Saccharomyces cerevisiae S288C: one gene and its partners. Changing the gene in region 4 together with the main gene of any one other region gives a genetic interaction. Each region holds a gene or a part of one and is shown on either strand. Other genes may lie near its edges.

Evidence for each region.
Region 1: mutations in POL32 (region 4) and TOF1 together harm fitness more than expected from each alone (negative genetic interaction), as found in Saccharomyces cerevisiae (9 studies listed by BioGRID, with this or other methods).
Region 2: mutations in POL32 (region 4) and RAD51 impair growth when combined (synthetic growth defect), as found in Saccharomyces cerevisiae (14 studies listed by BioGRID, with this or other methods).
Region 3: mutations in POL32 (region 4) and HST3 impair growth when combined (synthetic growth defect), as found in Saccharomyces cerevisiae (6 studies listed by BioGRID, with this or other methods).

Annotation. Positions count from the first base shown.
Region 1 is NC_001146.8:121,109-127,140, reverse strand, and holds TOF1 (Tof1p), read right to left. Parts: upstream 4,259-6,032; coding exon 542-4,258; downstream 1-541. Other genes in the region: guanine nucleotide exchange factor SEC2, read left to right, coding at 1-336; GOR1 (glyoxylate reductase), read left to right, coding at 4,971-6,023. UniProt on the Saccharomyces cerevisiae protein: Forms a fork protection complex (FPC) with CSM3 and which is required for chromosome segregation during meiosis and DNA damage repair. FPC coordinates leading and lagging strand synthesis and moves with the replication fork.
Region 2 is NC_001137.3:348,285-351,722, forward strand, and holds RAD51 (recombinase RAD51), read left to right. Parts: upstream 1-1,695; coding exon 1,696-2,898; downstream 2,899-3,438. Other genes in the region: AIM11 (Aim11p), read right to left, coding at 1-116; PUP3 (proteasome core particle subunit beta 3), read right to left, coding at 445-1,062; SHC1 (Shc1p), read left to right, coding at 3,414-3,438. UniProt on the Saccharomyces cerevisiae protein: Required both for recombination and for the repair of DNA damage caused by X-rays. Its function may be modulated by interaction with other repair proteins. RAD52 interacts directly with RAD51, via its C-terminus.
Region 3 is NC_001147.6:376,614-380,062, reverse strand, and holds HST3 (NAD-dependent histone deacetylase HST3), read right to left. Parts: upstream 1,845-3,449; coding exon 501-1,844; downstream 1-500. Other genes in the region: BUB3 (Bub3p), read right to left, coding at 1-282; AHC1 (Ahc1p), read left to right, coding at 2,351-3,449. UniProt on the Saccharomyces cerevisiae protein: NAD-dependent histone deacetylase, which contributes together with HST4 to histone H3 'Lys-56' deacetylation, regulation of telomeric silencing, proper cell cycle progression, DNA damage control, DNA recombination, and genomic maintenance.
Region 4 is NC_001142.9:515,961-519,411, forward strand, and holds POL32 (DNA polymerase delta subunit POL32), read right to left. Parts: upstream 1,554-3,451; coding exon 501-1,553; downstream 1-500. Other genes in the region: NUP85 (Nup85p), read left to right, coding at 1-329; VPS55 (Vps55p), read right to left, coding at 2,803-3,225. UniProt on the Saccharomyces cerevisiae protein: DNA polymerase delta (DNA polymerase III) participates in chromosomal DNA replication.

The DNA of each region.
Region 1 (6,032 bases), on a different chromosome or scaffold from region 4:
TCTATAATAAAGAAAAAGGCTCCTCAACGCAAGATACAAAAGAAGAAGTTACTCCAAGATTTGGATGATTTAGAAGAGCAATTTAGAGAAGAAAGCGCAATTGATCAGACTGAATTTGAAAACGCTGAGTCTAATGTAAAACAAAATATATCCTCGAAGAGGGCATCTTCTGGAGACGAGAACTCTAAGAAGGATAATAATGAAAAAACTTTAAAGACAAACTTGACGATAGGCGACAAAACCCAAGAACAAATAGGGGAAAATAGTCCTAGTAGCGGATTGCATGCGTCTTCAAGCAATGATGACAATTTCGATGATGCCCAGGAACAGCAATAAATTATATAATATTTAATTTTATGTGTCCTAATGGACATTTGAGTTCCTTAAGATGTTCAACAACTTAGAAAAATATAGGTAATGATAAAGAATGAATCGCATGTATTGTTTTAATATTATGTCAATACTTTGAACTTAAAAACAGAGTAAAGAAGTGGTTCTAAAATTACACGTATTAAAGGGATTAATTACTACATATTCATTCTCAATCATCACTATCACCTTGGCTCAAAACAACTCTAGACTTTTTGCCAAAAAGGCGGATGGCCTCTTCATCTTCATCGCTTTCATCGGCTGCACTCGCTTCCAAAGAACGCTTTGTAGATTCTTTTCTGCTATACACCTCAGATTGGAACATATTTTGCGAATTTGATGGCTGTGATGAGCCCAAACTATTTCTTGATTCCGAGTTGACATCGTCATCAGAGAGTTGATTATTATTGTTATTATTTACATCGAAAATAGACATTTCAGATGCCACGTGGCTTGCTAAAGAAATGAGGCTTTTATCTGGCGCAAAGGAACTACTTTCTGTAGCTCTTATGCTTTCAATACTTGGTATGGATCCACCAAACAAGCTCGTATAATCTCCTGTCACAACACCCCCATTATTCATCCTTTCCGCGGCAAATTTGGCAAACTGGATATATCTATCCTCGGTCAACTGACCATTGTTTTTATCTAGTAACCATCTCATATATGTTTCGTTTTCAAAAAATATAGGGTTCATCAAATCCTCGTCATCTTCTGAATCACTAATAAACTCTTTACTGAATACGCCATGGCGTTCTCTAACGGTCTGAGGTCGTTCATCATCCTGGTCGCCAAACATTGGCAAATTAGTCTTGGCTTCTCCTTTCCTACGCTTCCTCTTATCTTTTTTTTTGGATCTCGCAATCCCTTTACTGAATTTGGTACCTTTAAGTTTATCTGATGCATTGTTATCTAAATCCTTGAAGTATGCTGCGTCGCTTTTCGATAAAATTTGATCATCTGGAACAATGTAGGGATCGTTGTAATCATAATCATCGTCTCCTTCCCATCCATCTTGTTCATTGTGAGAAAAACTATCCTTTTCTGAACGAACTCGTAGAAGATAGGAAGAAGAAGGCAGTCCGTTTGGAGTTTCAAATGGTGTTGATAAGTATTTTTTCACTAGTTCACAAGAAACAGTCAGGTCAGAAACTTCAACAGTCCCCGGTAAAAAACAAGGTTCATTGATTTTACGTGGAATGGAGTATCCTATCAGCAACAATAAAGCCCTGTAGTCCTTATCTTTAAAAATAGGGTCGTTGTTGAGTACACCTGTCAATGTGAAATATTCATTGGGTGGATTAACTGTTTCTTTCCCAGCATTAACATTTACGGTTAGCCACGACTTAAAAATATCTAGTGTGTGGGTTATATGCTTGAGCAGTTGGTCCAATAGTTCAGTTTTTCCATCATCAAGTAATGTGGAAACTAAAACACCATATTTCATATCCAACAAAATCGAAGGTGGTAAGGCTTCTTCATCGGGAATTGGTTTGAACTGTGATGCAGGAGCGGCATACATTGATTCATTATTAAGTACATTATATTCACCATATCTTTGGTAAAATCCTACTTCACTATTGTGTAATGGCGGGAAAAGTAATCCAACAAACCAAGCAGGTGATTTCTTTAACCTTTTCTTCAACCTGGCGAGGAAGTAGTCTGAAAATTGACTCACATATTTCCTTGAACGAGACATTCTATCTAATCCGTCAGGTGAAAGCATTTCTCTTAATAATATTATCAAATCAAATCTAAATAACAATGCCTGTTCTTTTGCCTGAACAAATACTCTATGGAAAAAGGAAAATACTTTTTTAATGGAATCGTCCTCAAGCTCACGAAATCTTTCAAGGAAATTAATGTACGTTTCTATTACCGGTTCTGTCATATAGTTGGCTTGCACCTTTTGAAAATTGACTTCTATACTTCTTAAAGAAGAGGTTAGAATATCAAGCGCTTCATCTCTATCTACATTTTCTTCTTCTATCAATTTAGTAATATCACCTTCTGAAATATTAAACTTTTTTTGCCGTCTTGATTTGCCTTCAATAACTAATGTTTTATCGTCAGAGTATTGCTCTAATACTTTCAATACCGAGTGTGTTAGTTCAATGCAACTTTTCATGAATTGGAGGGAGTATTTGGAACCAATCTTCGGCAGATTTGACAGTAATTGTATTCTCTCGTCACTGAAAAGCCTACTTACAATGAATTCTATATCGGTCGAATCCTCTTCTTGAGCGGCCTTTGTACGGGAAACGAGGTTCAACAGTTCATTAAATGCAATCATACCAGCATGTGTCACTGTCCAATTTTTCAGGTCATATGCGCTTCTTAAAAGAGAAGACACTAGAATGAAAGTCACCTCTTTCAAGGCTTCTGAAACTTGCTTTATATCTGCGGAATTGTCGATTTTGGACCTCAACAACTGGTATTTAACAAACCATGCAAAGAAAAGTAAATATTCGACTTGCTCCAAAGTTACCATCCTATCCTGCTCAGTTGTGAAGTAGTTCGTCACACTATGCAACAAGATGTTAAAGCCGGAATCTATAAAGTTGTTGATGAATTCTTTGAAATGTTTACCATTTGATTCGGTGAAAAAAATAGCTTTACCGGTTTGTGAATTCAAGAGACTATTCGGTAAGCCCTCAGCTGCGACAGATTGATGCTTTTTAATTATTCTTTTATTCCATTTTTTGCTGTCATCTAGTTTTTGGAGCGCTATTTTTTCATCTACGAGAGCTTGGCTACCAGAAACAGTTAACCTAGTTTTATCTGGTGTTTGTATAGATAAAAGACCACCAAATCTGGAGTGTCTTGCAGATGTATGCTTGATAACGTTTTTTCTCATTTGGTGTTCCTTTTGTAATAACTTCGATAGTTCAAAACCTGCACTTGTAACAATGTTATTAGCAGAGGAGCTCTCATTTTTATTTACCACCTTTGAATGTGTCCCGGTTTCGAACTGTCGAGGGAATAGCAGTTCTTGGTTAACATCTTTAGTGAAGTAGAACATAATCTCCAACAGTGGGATATTGATAAAGTCCTGGTCAAACTCTTTTGATAAGGAGCTGGTCAGCGTTAAGAGGAAACCGAATACCTTGTTTTTATGGAATGAGGAAATAACCGTATTTAAAGAGATGTCATCCATAGAGACGTTTGGTGGCAAAGTATCGATAGATGTGATACCTTTCTTAGGCATGCTTTTCTTAGTATTGATAGTAAATTCACCGGGTTCTATAGCAATGACATTTCTGAAAAAATTCAAAACCAATTTGAGAACCATATTGTCCCTAGGAGTTCTTGATAATCGGTCGATTTTGATAACATCCAGAGCCAATCTAATGGCAGCTCTTAACACTTTACCACTTTCCATAGACAGAATCGTTTTCTTGTATACCAATTGATGCTTCTTTAGCTCACCATAGAGAGTAATTTGATTTGATGAAGACTGTTCAGTTACAATTAAAGGCCAAGTCATAAGGACCAATAGTTGTAGACAATTTAGCGCAATTTTATCGTAATAAGCTTTGTTTCTAAACTCTTCATGGTCTGGGTTGTTCTTTGCAAGCTTTGCTGCAAGAGAACATTTGTTTTCCCAATCTATCAGAATAGGTAACAGATCATCCGTCAAGATGCGATATTCAGCTACTGCCATTGCCACATCCCATCTTTTCTGCTGGTCATCCACTAGTTTAAACCATCTTTTCAGATCTTTTAAGCACGCCAAACAGTCATCGCCAAGCTTATAAGGGGGTGGGTCTATCTGGGAAGTATAATCCGGCCCACCGATGGCAGTTGCCAATAAAGCAATTCTTGCTCTAAGTACCGTCAGAGAGAAATCAGCCGCATTTGTAGTGCCTTGTTGCAAATCAGCAGACATAGTGTGCGCCCTCCTATATTAAAGATACACTAAACCCCACAAGCTAGATGGTATTATCATATGTGAGGCGACTTACGAACCATATCTCATTTGAAAAATCCTTAATACTCATTTTAATTTTTCATCGTAAACGCGTAATGCGGCAGTAAACGCGTCAAAGTAGCATAATGGAAGGGCCATTTCCACAGGGAAGCAATTCATACAGGGCACTACCCAGTTGTGATAGTAACACAGAACAGCTTCCTAAAGCAAACGGTAGGGATGCCTATATACAGGACAACTACTGGTTATTTCGCTGACTTGATATGAGAAGTGGCAGTGAAAACCAGCGTTATGAACGGTGAAACCGAGCGGGGATGGATGAAAAGTACGTATAACTCTGTATACACCTCACTTGGCTTCATAATGTGGTTCCGCCATCTGATTGCGTTGCTGTGGTCTTCAGAATTCCTGAAGGACGACGCAATTAGCTCTAGAGCTTCTCCAGGCATTTATTACGTAGGACCGAGAGCGGACTTAAAATCTGCAAAAGTCTTGGCAGGGGGCGGGGATAACAAGGCAATCTTATCCCATTTTTCACTAATCTCGAGCATATAAAAAGTAAATTCTATTGGCCTTGTTGTTACGTTAGGGAAATCCTTCTACATGATTATTGCTCTACAATACCGAAGTATTAACAATACATAAACGAGCAAGAAGAGGAGAAGAGAATATGAGTAAGAAACCAATTGTTTTGAAATTAGGAAAGGATGCCTTTGGTGACCAAGCCTGGGGGGAATTGGAAAAGATTGCGGATGTAATTACCATCCCTGAATCCACCACTAGAGAACAGTTTTTGCGGGAGGTAAAAGACCCACAAAATAAGCTCTCCCAAGTACAAGTCATTACTAGAACAGCAAGGAGTGTGAAAAACACCGGTAGATTTGATGAAGAGCTTGCTCTTGCTTTGCCCTCCTCCGTAGTGGCTGTATGTCATACTGGTGCTGGTTATGACCAAATTGATGTTGAGCCATTCAAGAAAAGGCACATCCAGGTTGCCAATGTTCCTGATTTAGTTAGCAATGCTACCGCTGATACGCATGTATTTTTGCTATTGGGTGCCCTAAGAAACTTCGGTATTGGTAACAGAAGGTTGATCGAGGGAAACTGGCCGGAGGCAGGACCCGCATGTGGTTCTCCCTTTGGATACGACCCTGAAGGGAAAACAGTTGGTATACTGGGTCTAGGTAGGATTGGTCGTTGTATTTTAGAGAGATTGAAGCCGTTTGGGTTCGAGAATTTCATATATCATAACAGACACCAGCTTCCTTCCGAAGAAGAGCATGGTTGTGAATATGTAGGATTCGAGGAGTTTTTGAAGCGTTCTGATATAGTATCTGTAAACGTCCCACTGAACCACAATACTCACCATCTAATCAATGCAGAGACTATTGAAAAAATGAAAGATGGTGTAGTTATTGTTAACACAGCGCGTGGTGCCGTGATAGACGAACAAGCCATGACTGATGCTTTGCGTTCTGGAAAGATTAGAAGTGCTGGTTTGGACGTTTTCGAATATGAGCCAAAAATATCCAAAGAGTTATTATCGATGTCCCAAGTCTTAGGACTGCCTCATATGGGCACACATAGTGTAGAAACAAGAAAGAAAATGGAAGAACTGGTCGTTGAAAATGCAAAGAATGTGATATTGACCGGGAAAGTCTTGACTATTGTTCCGGAATTACAAAATGAAGACTGGCCCAATGAATCTAAGCCATTAGTTTGACTACAAGAT
Region 2 (3,438 bases), on a different chromosome or scaffold from region 4:
ACTTTTATGGCCCTGGAGATAAGCCTCATGGTAATCAGGGTGAAGGCGGCCGCACCATAAAATCTGGCCATTTGAAGAACCCTGCGTTTCTTAAGTTCCTTCTTCTCTTCGATCATAGTTTCGTTTCTTGATGAAGTAGGATAGTCGTACTAATTGCTGACAAACCCGTCAAAGAATCAAGTTCCCCATCCTAATAAGTATTAAAAGCGCCAATTTTTCAAGAGACTCGCGGCTGGTGAATAACGCTGCTCCTTAGAAAAGGACAGCCAGCGGATAGCTACTCAGATCTTCGACTGACTTTATGCATTTTAGTATTTATATATTCATTCGATCTATTCTGTTTACTTAAAAATTAAAGATGAGTTGGATGTGGAAAATTCTTGACGTTCCGCTGATATTTTGTGTTGGGGTTGTTTTTGGGACCATGAGATTGCCATGAACCGATCAATCTTGTCTCATCTTCAAGTATCTCTTCACCACTTCATCCTTCTTGATGATGTATACTACAGCTCCCCAGCCTGATAGAGCGTCACGGTCAGCAGCATTCAGTAGGGCCTGACTTATAGTTTCGAAAAGATCTTCTGGCTCTAGATTAGGTTCGTACAGGGACTCACACATACCGAACAGTTGGTCGGATGCAGTACCGCTAACGATAAAATCCTTGGCCTCGTCGATACAGCCGATTAGGTCGAATCCCGCAATAAAGGGCTTCCCGGACTTGGAATTAATACCTGCTACCACCGGCCCCACAAAGTATGGACCGAATCTTCTTTCATAAAGTGAACTTGACACTAATTGGGTAAACGTTTCAGGCTCAATGGCCCTTTCTTCCTTCAACTTATATAGGTTCGTCTTGTAGCGGAACATCTCGTTCAGAGTAGTCACGTCGGTAGCCAGACCGGTAATCCCTAAGAACACATGCCCATAGTGGAAGATTTTTTCAAACTTGTTCGACACACCTAGTGACTGGCTTCCGAGACGCAAATCACAGGCAATGGCCACACAGTCTTTACCTGTCATCGCAACGACGATACCACCGTTAATAGAACTTGGATCCGACATTTTTTTTTTATGCTTTATTCACTGTTCAATATTTTCACCACAATTCGCAAGAAACGCACTCTACTTCGAAACTACGGTTCAAACTTACTTAGCAGCTTCCCGATTTAATTGGCCTTTCTACTATGCCATAAACTCTTTCTTCCTCTCTTTTCATCGCCCCTGCATTTGCACTTTTTTGCCACCGGCAGTGCCATCCGGTCACATGACTACACCACGTTAATAGCGATCTGGCTTATCATTGTCACAGAGTAAATTAAAATGGACGGTAAATGTTGGAAATGCACCACTACCGTTCTTCAACCAATCTAGTTTAGCTATCCTGCAACAGGTGGCCTTCTTGAGCATTCCCTGAGCATTCCAACCGGTTGTATCAGTGTTTTATCACCGTCTCACCATATCCCACGACTAGGCCACACTTCGTTACCCTATGCTACGCGTCATTTCCGCTATTTCTGTCCTGGTTTGTTTACAGTACGCGTGGTGGGACCATAAAGGGGAATAGTGGGGACTGGAGAAAAAATTTTCTCAGTTACTTCTTCTATCTTCCGTAGTTTCCATATACTAGTAGTTGAGTGTAGCGACAAAGAGCAGACGTAGTTATTTGTTAAAGGCCTACTAATTTGTTATCGTCATATGTCTCAAGTTCAAGAACAACATATATCAGAGTCACAGCTTCAGTACGGGAACGGTTCGTTGATGTCCACTGTACCAGCAGACCTTTCACAGTCAGTCGTTGATGGAAACGGCAACGGTAGCAGCGAAGATATTGAGGCCACCAACGGCTCCGGCGATGGTGGCGGATTGCAGGAGCAAGCGGAAGCGCAAGGTGAAATGGAGGATGAAGCATACGATGAAGCTGCCTTAGGTTCGTTTGTGCCAATAGAAAAACTGCAAGTGAACGGGATTACTATGGCGGATGTGAAAAAACTAAGGGAGAGTGGGCTTCACACTGCTGAAGCGGTAGCATATGCTCCCAGAAAGGATTTATTGGAAATCAAAGGTATATCGGAAGCTAAGGCAGATAAGTTGCTAAACGAAGCGGCAAGGCTAGTGCCTATGGGATTTGTCACGGCTGCTGATTTTCATATGAGAAGATCGGAGCTGATTTGTTTGACAACGGGTTCTAAGAATTTGGACACTCTTTTGGGTGGTGGTGTGGAAACTGGTTCTATTACTGAGCTTTTCGGTGAATTCAGGACAGGTAAGTCCCAGCTATGTCACACTTTGGCCGTGACATGCCAAATTCCATTGGATATTGGTGGCGGTGAAGGTAAGTGTTTGTATATCGATACCGAAGGTACTTTCAGGCCGGTAAGATTGGTATCCATAGCTCAGCGGTTCGGATTAGACCCGGATGATGCTTTGAACAACGTTGCGTATGCAAGAGCCTATAACGCCGATCATCAGTTAAGACTTCTGGATGCTGCTGCCCAAATGATGAGCGAGTCTCGGTTTTCCTTGATTGTGGTCGATTCTGTTATGGCTCTATACCGTACGGATTTTTCTGGTCGTGGTGAACTAAGCGCAAGGCAAATGCATTTAGCCAAATTTATGCGTGCTTTGCAAAGGCTGGCCGACCAATTTGGTGTTGCAGTCGTCGTTACTAACCAAGTGGTCGCCCAAGTTGATGGTGGTATGGCTTTTAATCCAGATCCAAAGAAGCCTATCGGTGGTAATATTATGGCACATTCTTCCACCACGCGATTAGGTTTCAAAAAGGGTAAGGGATGTCAAAGATTATGCAAAGTTGTTGACTCACCTTGCTTACCAGAGGCTGAATGTGTGTTCGCGATCTATGAAGATGGTGTTGGTGACCCCAGAGAAGAAGACGAGTAGGTATTTGGTCTCTTGTCTCTATTTATTTACACAGGTTTACTTTCAATTCTCCTCTTTTTCTTAGGTTGCGTTCCGTACATTTTTATCTTCATTTCCATCCACTGTCTTAGATTTTTGCATATATTTTGTCATATACCTCGCAACCCTACTGCGGTCTTAACCTTTTTTTTCAGTTCTTTTAAATAACTTTCGTATTGTCTGTCACCCATGAAATATATGTATTTTTCTACTCTTCTTCCCGATGACTACTTCCTCCTGCAGGGTCCGCGCGGCTTTATCCTTTTAGGGGAGTGAAGAGAAAAATTTTCTGATATGTCGCCATCCTCTTATAAAACCAACGTAAAATACCATACACTTCTTTATGGCAATGAATTTCCTTGTCTTCGTTTCGACGTTTTTAAATTGAATAAAAAATTGTACTTGGAAAAAAGAATAGAACAATACTTTTGCTAACAGCAAGAGAAGTACGGTTGACATTACGAGTATCCCTTTGTTAAAATCAGGCAGTACCCATAATGTCCATGACTATTTGCTCAAATA
Region 3 (3,449 bases), on a different chromosome or scaffold from region 4:
AGCTTGGAAGCTGGGACTACCTATCAAATCAACTTTTAGAATTTCACCCTGTACAGTTCCCACGTATATTTGCAGATCGGTATTGTCGATGAAATTGCAGCACAATAACGGATGTTTATATCGTAGCGATTGTAAAAGGTCAACATTCTTTGCTTGAATGTCGAATTTGTAGACTGTTAAAGAGCCATCCCAAGACGTAATCAAAAGCAGTGACTTGGAAGGGATTATTTTGATGTCGCTTATGTAGTCTTTTGGGGCCTGCTCAATTTGTACTATCTGCATGCCGCGACTGTTGTGTTTTCGTGTTGCAGATATCAGATAGCTTTTCTTTCGCGATGTGATATTTTTTTCGTTCACTATTTTTTGTATTCTCGGACATGCAGATCTCCGTTGGTATATGTATGAGTATATAAATGGAAGATAAATTAAACGGATGATATATTATGCAAAGGGGTGTCTGCCTCGATTATTTATCGTTAACTCAATTTTAATAGTTAAGTTTATGAGGCTTGGTTGTCACCGAAAGTTGGTCGTATCTTAGCGCGTTTTCTTGTATCCAAGTTTTCCTCTTCGTCTTCCTCACTGGAGTTTTCTGGTGACAGTATTTTTCTCTTAACTGTGTTTAACGACTTTATTTTTGTATTCAATTCGTTGTTTCCTTGAATATCAATCCCCTGGGCAGTTCGTAGAGGGGTTGTTGGGGGGGTTCCGATTGAGTCTTTTTGGGCCTTCATTTGCTTTCTCAAGTCGCTCGCCTCCCTTTTTAACTGTCTTAACTTCTTAATTTGATCTTGCGTCTTGAAGAAATCTGGTATTTGGGATTCAAGAAATGTGACCCAATTATCACAATCTGAGTGGATTTGGTAGTCTATAATGCCGTGCCAAGAGGATTCGCCAATGGGTGTCTTGTTTACGAGAATGATCAGGCCGCCACGATCGTGAATTTTCTTACTTAATTTTTTTACCAGTTGTTTCACACCATCAACTTTCAAACTTGTACCCATGATGATCAAAAAATCAGGATTGCCTTTAATTATGTCAAGATTTAGGCCTTGCGTAATAATTTCACAGGATGGATGGTTTTCACCATACAGGACGATATTAGGTCTTAGAATACCCACATTAGAACCAAGAGTTCGCTTTCCTTCATTCAATCTCTTGTTGATAAGTGCTTCGCAATCCGGACACAATGGTAACTCACCTCTTCTTAGACAACGAGACCAGTACCTGCTCCAGGGAAAAGTCTGGAAGCACTTTGTACACGAAAGAGTTTTCAGGTCGCCGTGCAACTGAACGACATCCAGATTTTTCCAATGTGAACTAAATGAGGTAAGCGGTAATTTCCTATTTGATAAAGTAAGTCCTATGCTTTCTTCGAGCCCATCGATGTTTTGCGTGTAACAGCGCAGCAGTTTGTTCCTATCTTTTAGATGCGCAATGAACTTGTGCGTCTTAGTCGGCTTTGCCAATTGAACATTTGAATAGAGCCTCTCCATAAATTTAGCAAAAATGGATATTTTGAAGTCATCTCTAAATAGCGAAATATCAAACATTTCCCTGCCGGACTTGATAGACCAATACTGTGAACAATCCTTTTTCACTAGGTCGTAGAGCCCATCAGAAGAGCGAAAGTCAGGAATGCCCGCGTTGCACGAAATGCCTGCCCCAGTCAGACAAGCAATTCTCCTAGATCTGCTCAACTGCTTGGTTACGCGCCGGAGAACTTCATCGTCGGCATCAAGACCTATAATATGTGCCAGTTTCTCAGTCTGCAAAGAGGACGGTAAGTCGGAGCACATTGAGCCCGATCGACTGGCAGGTGGCGAGGGCGATACTGAAGTCATTTTTGAGAAAGATGGATCTAGTTGTATGTAAATTAATCCCTTCAGTTTTTACACCACTAACCACGTATTTGCCCTTGCTTGTGTTATATATAAGACGTACGCCAGATATAGTTCTCTGGCACGAATAACATTGCTTGCTTTTATTGACGTTTTACCCTTTGTGGTAACAGCAAACATAAACGTCGTTCGTGATGTTGAGTTACTTATTGTTACCCGCAATTGAGGGATACCCGCCACAGAAACACATGCAGTGCATTTGCCACTGTGCATAGCCGTAGGAAGAGGGAAAAACGAACAGGGAAGAAGCAGGAAGAGCAGACAGCAAGAACCCGTGCTAAGGAAGGTGATGAACTTTGGCCACTGAAGGCGCATTTTACCTCTGAAGGATCCCGTTTCCACATTTGTAAGCTAGTGTTCGTTCATATAAACACCCTGATCTTCGGCATTTCACTACTCTTCGGGCTCACGCTTCTCATCCAACACTTTGTGTATATGTCCATCTCCTCATGATGAGTCCCGCCCAAGATAAACTGCAGCACCAGCATCATAATCCTAATTCTTCCTCATCGTCATCCTCTAAGATGACGAACGTTTATCAGGTTACCACGCCAAAGTCTCCTCAGGATTTGGAAAACAACATGGATGAGCCCTTCAAAATGGACACCGCCACCAGTAATCCGGACAAGGATAGCGAAAATACCCAGCGGTTGAAGTACGAATGTGCCAAAGGGGAAATACAGAATGTTTTGAACCTACATATAATGCTAAACCACAAGCATGTTAGGCACTTACGAAGAAATGTTCAAAAGGTTAACGCAAAACTAGCTCTCTTGGAAACCCTGCATAAGGATACTGGTCTATTGAACAAAATCGAACGGACGTATCAACTCAAAATAAAACAACATCAGCAGCATAGCGTGCTCGGCGGCCACTTTCACGACAGTACGGCTACGGAAAATACGAACGCATCAAATTATAACCTGTCATACCCGGTTCTATCGGATTATAACATCAACTGTCAGCCTTTGTCTTCGAGCAGCAACAGAAATCTGTCAACAACACGCATACCACACCACCATTATCATACTAGAAGCAAGAGTAACGGGCTTTTGCTAGAACCTTCTGCCCTCCGTCCGGCAAATTCGAATATAATTGATTACAGGCTAACAGGTTCTAAATCTCTATCAGAAGCCATAACCAAGCCCACTCCCGTCTCGCTTCCTCACTCTAATTCGGATGGCATTTCTTCACCTCGTTCCTCCTCAATCTCCCCCTTAGACGAGCAGCCGGGGTTCCAGATACTCCCTTTTAAACCAAGTCAGATGCATCTTAACCACAGACGTAATTACAGTAGCACTTGTTTGACGAGCAATAGCGGTATCATCGGTAAGACTGAAAATAATGAGCCCATTTTTAGAAGATATGACGGCATTTTGGTTATAATTACGTGCTCCAAATGTGACCGTTCCGGTTTCACTTCCGCGCAAGGTATCGTGAACCATACTCGACTAAAACATTCTAAACTATATTCAAGCCAACCATTGGCAGTTTTAAACAACCAAAAACTACTTCCTAATGATAAGCAGGATCCGGAAATTTTATCTA
Region 4 (3,451 bases):
TGAGGGACAGAGAAGATTGGGGCCAAGCGCTGCGCCTATTGCTTTTGCTGATTGAATTCCCTTATTTACCAAAACATTACTTGGTTTTGCTTGTGGCGAAATTCCTGTACCCAATTTTCCTTTTAGATGATAAGAAGCTAATGGATGAAGATTCAGTGGCGACAGTCATTGAAGTTATAGAAACTAAATGGGATGACGCTGATGAAAAAAGTTCAAACTTATATGAAACCATTATTGAAGCAGATAAAAGCTTACCTAGTAGCATGGCAACACTTTTGAAAAATTTAAGAAAGAAACTAAATTTCAAATTATGTCAAGCGTTCATGTAAATCAGTATAGTAATGTCCTTCGGATGGTATATTAGGATATATGACGAAAATAAGTAAATTTAAACAACAATATATATTTATATTGATCTATTTTTCTATCACGTAAGTTGACATTTGTATTATACATTACATCACAATTAGTAATGGAAAGTGTTTGGAAAAAAAAGAAGATTATTTTGCCTTTCTTTTGAAAAAGCTTTCCAATGTTCCTTGCTTTTTTAACCTTTTATTCGATGACGGCGTTTCTTGCTTTTTTGAAGACGACAATGCCCTTTTTACCACGGGTGATGGCTTGCGTGGTGGTGTTGAAGTTGCGGGTCTCTTTGTCACAATATATCCATCCTCATCAATAAAAGAGGAGGGCTCTTCTTCAGATTTAGGTTCCTTTGAATGTTCTGTTTCAGAAGGCTTTGTTTGCTGTATTTTAGGTACATCCATAAGTGAATCTTCTGCTGTCGTTTCCAACAAGTCTTCTAAATCATCGTTGTTTTTGTCCTTATCGTTGCTGTCAGTTTCTTTAGGTGAGTTGGGCTTGGACCCTCCATTTACTTCCTCTGTATCTAAGTCATCTTCGACAAAAAGATTATTTAACTCTTTCATTTGAGCTTCTCTTTCAGGGTTCTGTTTATTTATTTTTTGCAAGTTCTCCTCTTTCCTTTTACGTAACTCATTTTGTCTAGAGGTTTCCTTGTCATCTCTATCCTTTTTCATCTTAGCCAGCAGTGCAGTAGACCTGAGACCCATGTCTTTAGATTTGGATTTCCTTCCGGTTGTTTCTTCTGGCGTGGTCTTTGATCTTGCTGTAGGCCTTACCAAAGGTTTAGATTTCTCTTCTAACGTCTTAGTCCTCTCTATAATTTTCGATGATTCAGAAACTTTAAGTTCGTATGAATTTTTAATGGTTAAACAATCCTTTTGATCGATAATGTCGTAATATGGTATGAAGCTGTCCATGGGATTGAAGGCATAGATGAAACAATCAATTATTGAATCTTGCTGTGGAATGTTGGAAAGATCATGAATAATTTTAATAGTTTGATCTTTGTAGCAGCATATCACTACGCAGTTGTATTTGGCATTGGTGGTCTGTTTGTAATAGTCAAACATTAATTTCTTGGCCATGGATGGGCCGATCTTCAAGTGGTGAATTAGATCCGTAAAAAGGACGGGCTTTACCTCAGTGAAGAGCTTCTCATTGATAAAATATGACGCCTTTTGATCCATTAATTACCGATTGAGTTAACTAAAGCCTATTTCTGGTTGTTAGTTAATGTGAAATATTATTTCGAGCTGATCTGATTGCGATGTAACGAACTTCTGCGTACTTTTCAAAATTAAGAGTTTCGCGTGTTTAACTCATACGCGTTTACTACTTCCGTCGGAAAGTTACACCGTAGTGGAAAATAGACCTATTCGTTAGTATAACCTTATTAAGGTACTTCCATTAATGAAGTGTTCTATATTGAGGCATACTGATCGAGAATTTTCATAAGGTGAAACGATAAAAATATAAAAATTAAGCTTAGCGCCGCTCGGTTTCGATCCGAGGACATCAGGGTTATGAGCCCTGCGCGCTTCCACTGCGCCACGGCGCTTAACTTTTATGAATATTTTAGACTTAATAAAGATTCATATTGTAAAATTAAAAACAACTTGCACACTGAGCTGTGTTAGAATGAAATCCTACTATAATCCATAGTAGTATTCATGTCACTAGCACATTACAAAATATGCCATAGGAAGATGACGTAAAGATTGAGAACTAGTCATCAGATATAATAGAAGCTGAAAAGCAAGAATTGATAATATCGGACGCTATCCTACAATAGCAGCGCAGTTGCATAATTTGTTATGTGTCGTCTTTATTGTGTGTAAAGCTTTATACACCTTTACCTTTGTGTAGAAGACAAAGACATTGTTGTTATCACTATGTCCACATTCGCTACGAGGATATTTTCAACATATCTAGTTGAAATACAAATCTCAAGCCACTATAAAAACTGCGGAATCAAACAAATGTACAATACATTATCCTACTAGAGACTAATTTCTCAAGGTTTGCAATCCCATCTCTTTTCATGAGGTATATTGCGGCACAGAATGGTTGTACGACCATTGCTCAACGTTTCCGCTCATAGATCGATTCAAATAAGATTATAGACATGTGGCGATTCAATGCCAATCCTTATCCCGAAATTACGGATGTATTCAGCCAACTTTGCCTATCTACATTATTCTGTCAACTAGAGGCTAAAGACACGAATTTCTTGGCATTTTTTGTTTGAAAACTTGAAATGGAAGAAAGACAGAAAGTAATTTTATGTAATCTATTATATTTAAGTAGTTCTAAAAAAAAGGAGAAATCGACGCCAGATTTCCCACCTTGAGTAGAGTATCATACTATATAATATCAATGTACGGTTCACGCACCCAGTTGGCTTAGTCTGTTGAGGGGATGAGTAATTGTTATATATTAACCAAAAAGGGAATCATCTTCGTTGAAATCTTTTTTGAAAAACCATTTAAAAATAACAATACTAGAATATATGATAAGACCACCGATCATGCACATGATACAACTCAAATGGCCAATCAATTGGCAATGATAGAAAACAACAGGGAGTGCTATACCGCTTGTCACCAGCATTCCTGTAAGGAAGTGAGCCAGATCTTGGCCAGTGTTTGATGAATCGGACATGAAGTCAGATGTGTGATATTTATTTCCTGCATTGAAAATTGTGTTTGGTATTGGGGCAAGCAAAAAGATCAAAATATCGAATAGTGGGTAGTAATTATGGAATAATGCGCAGCTTAGTATGACCAAAAGGAATCCCAATGCGAGGAATCCTGACAGAGAAATAATCTTTGTCAATGGTGACACTTTGAATTCCATCATAACCGTCTGGGATTTTATGTATTAAGATTCTTTGCCTTTTAGATTTGATAAATATGCGCCGATATTAGACGTGTGTGTGTGTGTGTGTGTGTGTGTGTGTGTGTGTGTGTGATTCCCCTTTTCTAGTTTTTCTCCTACTCTTTTTTTCTCAGTTTTTCGTAAAGTGGAGTGAAAGCCCATCTAAGAAAAAGGCATAATAAAATGTAATAATTTTGAGGAGTACATT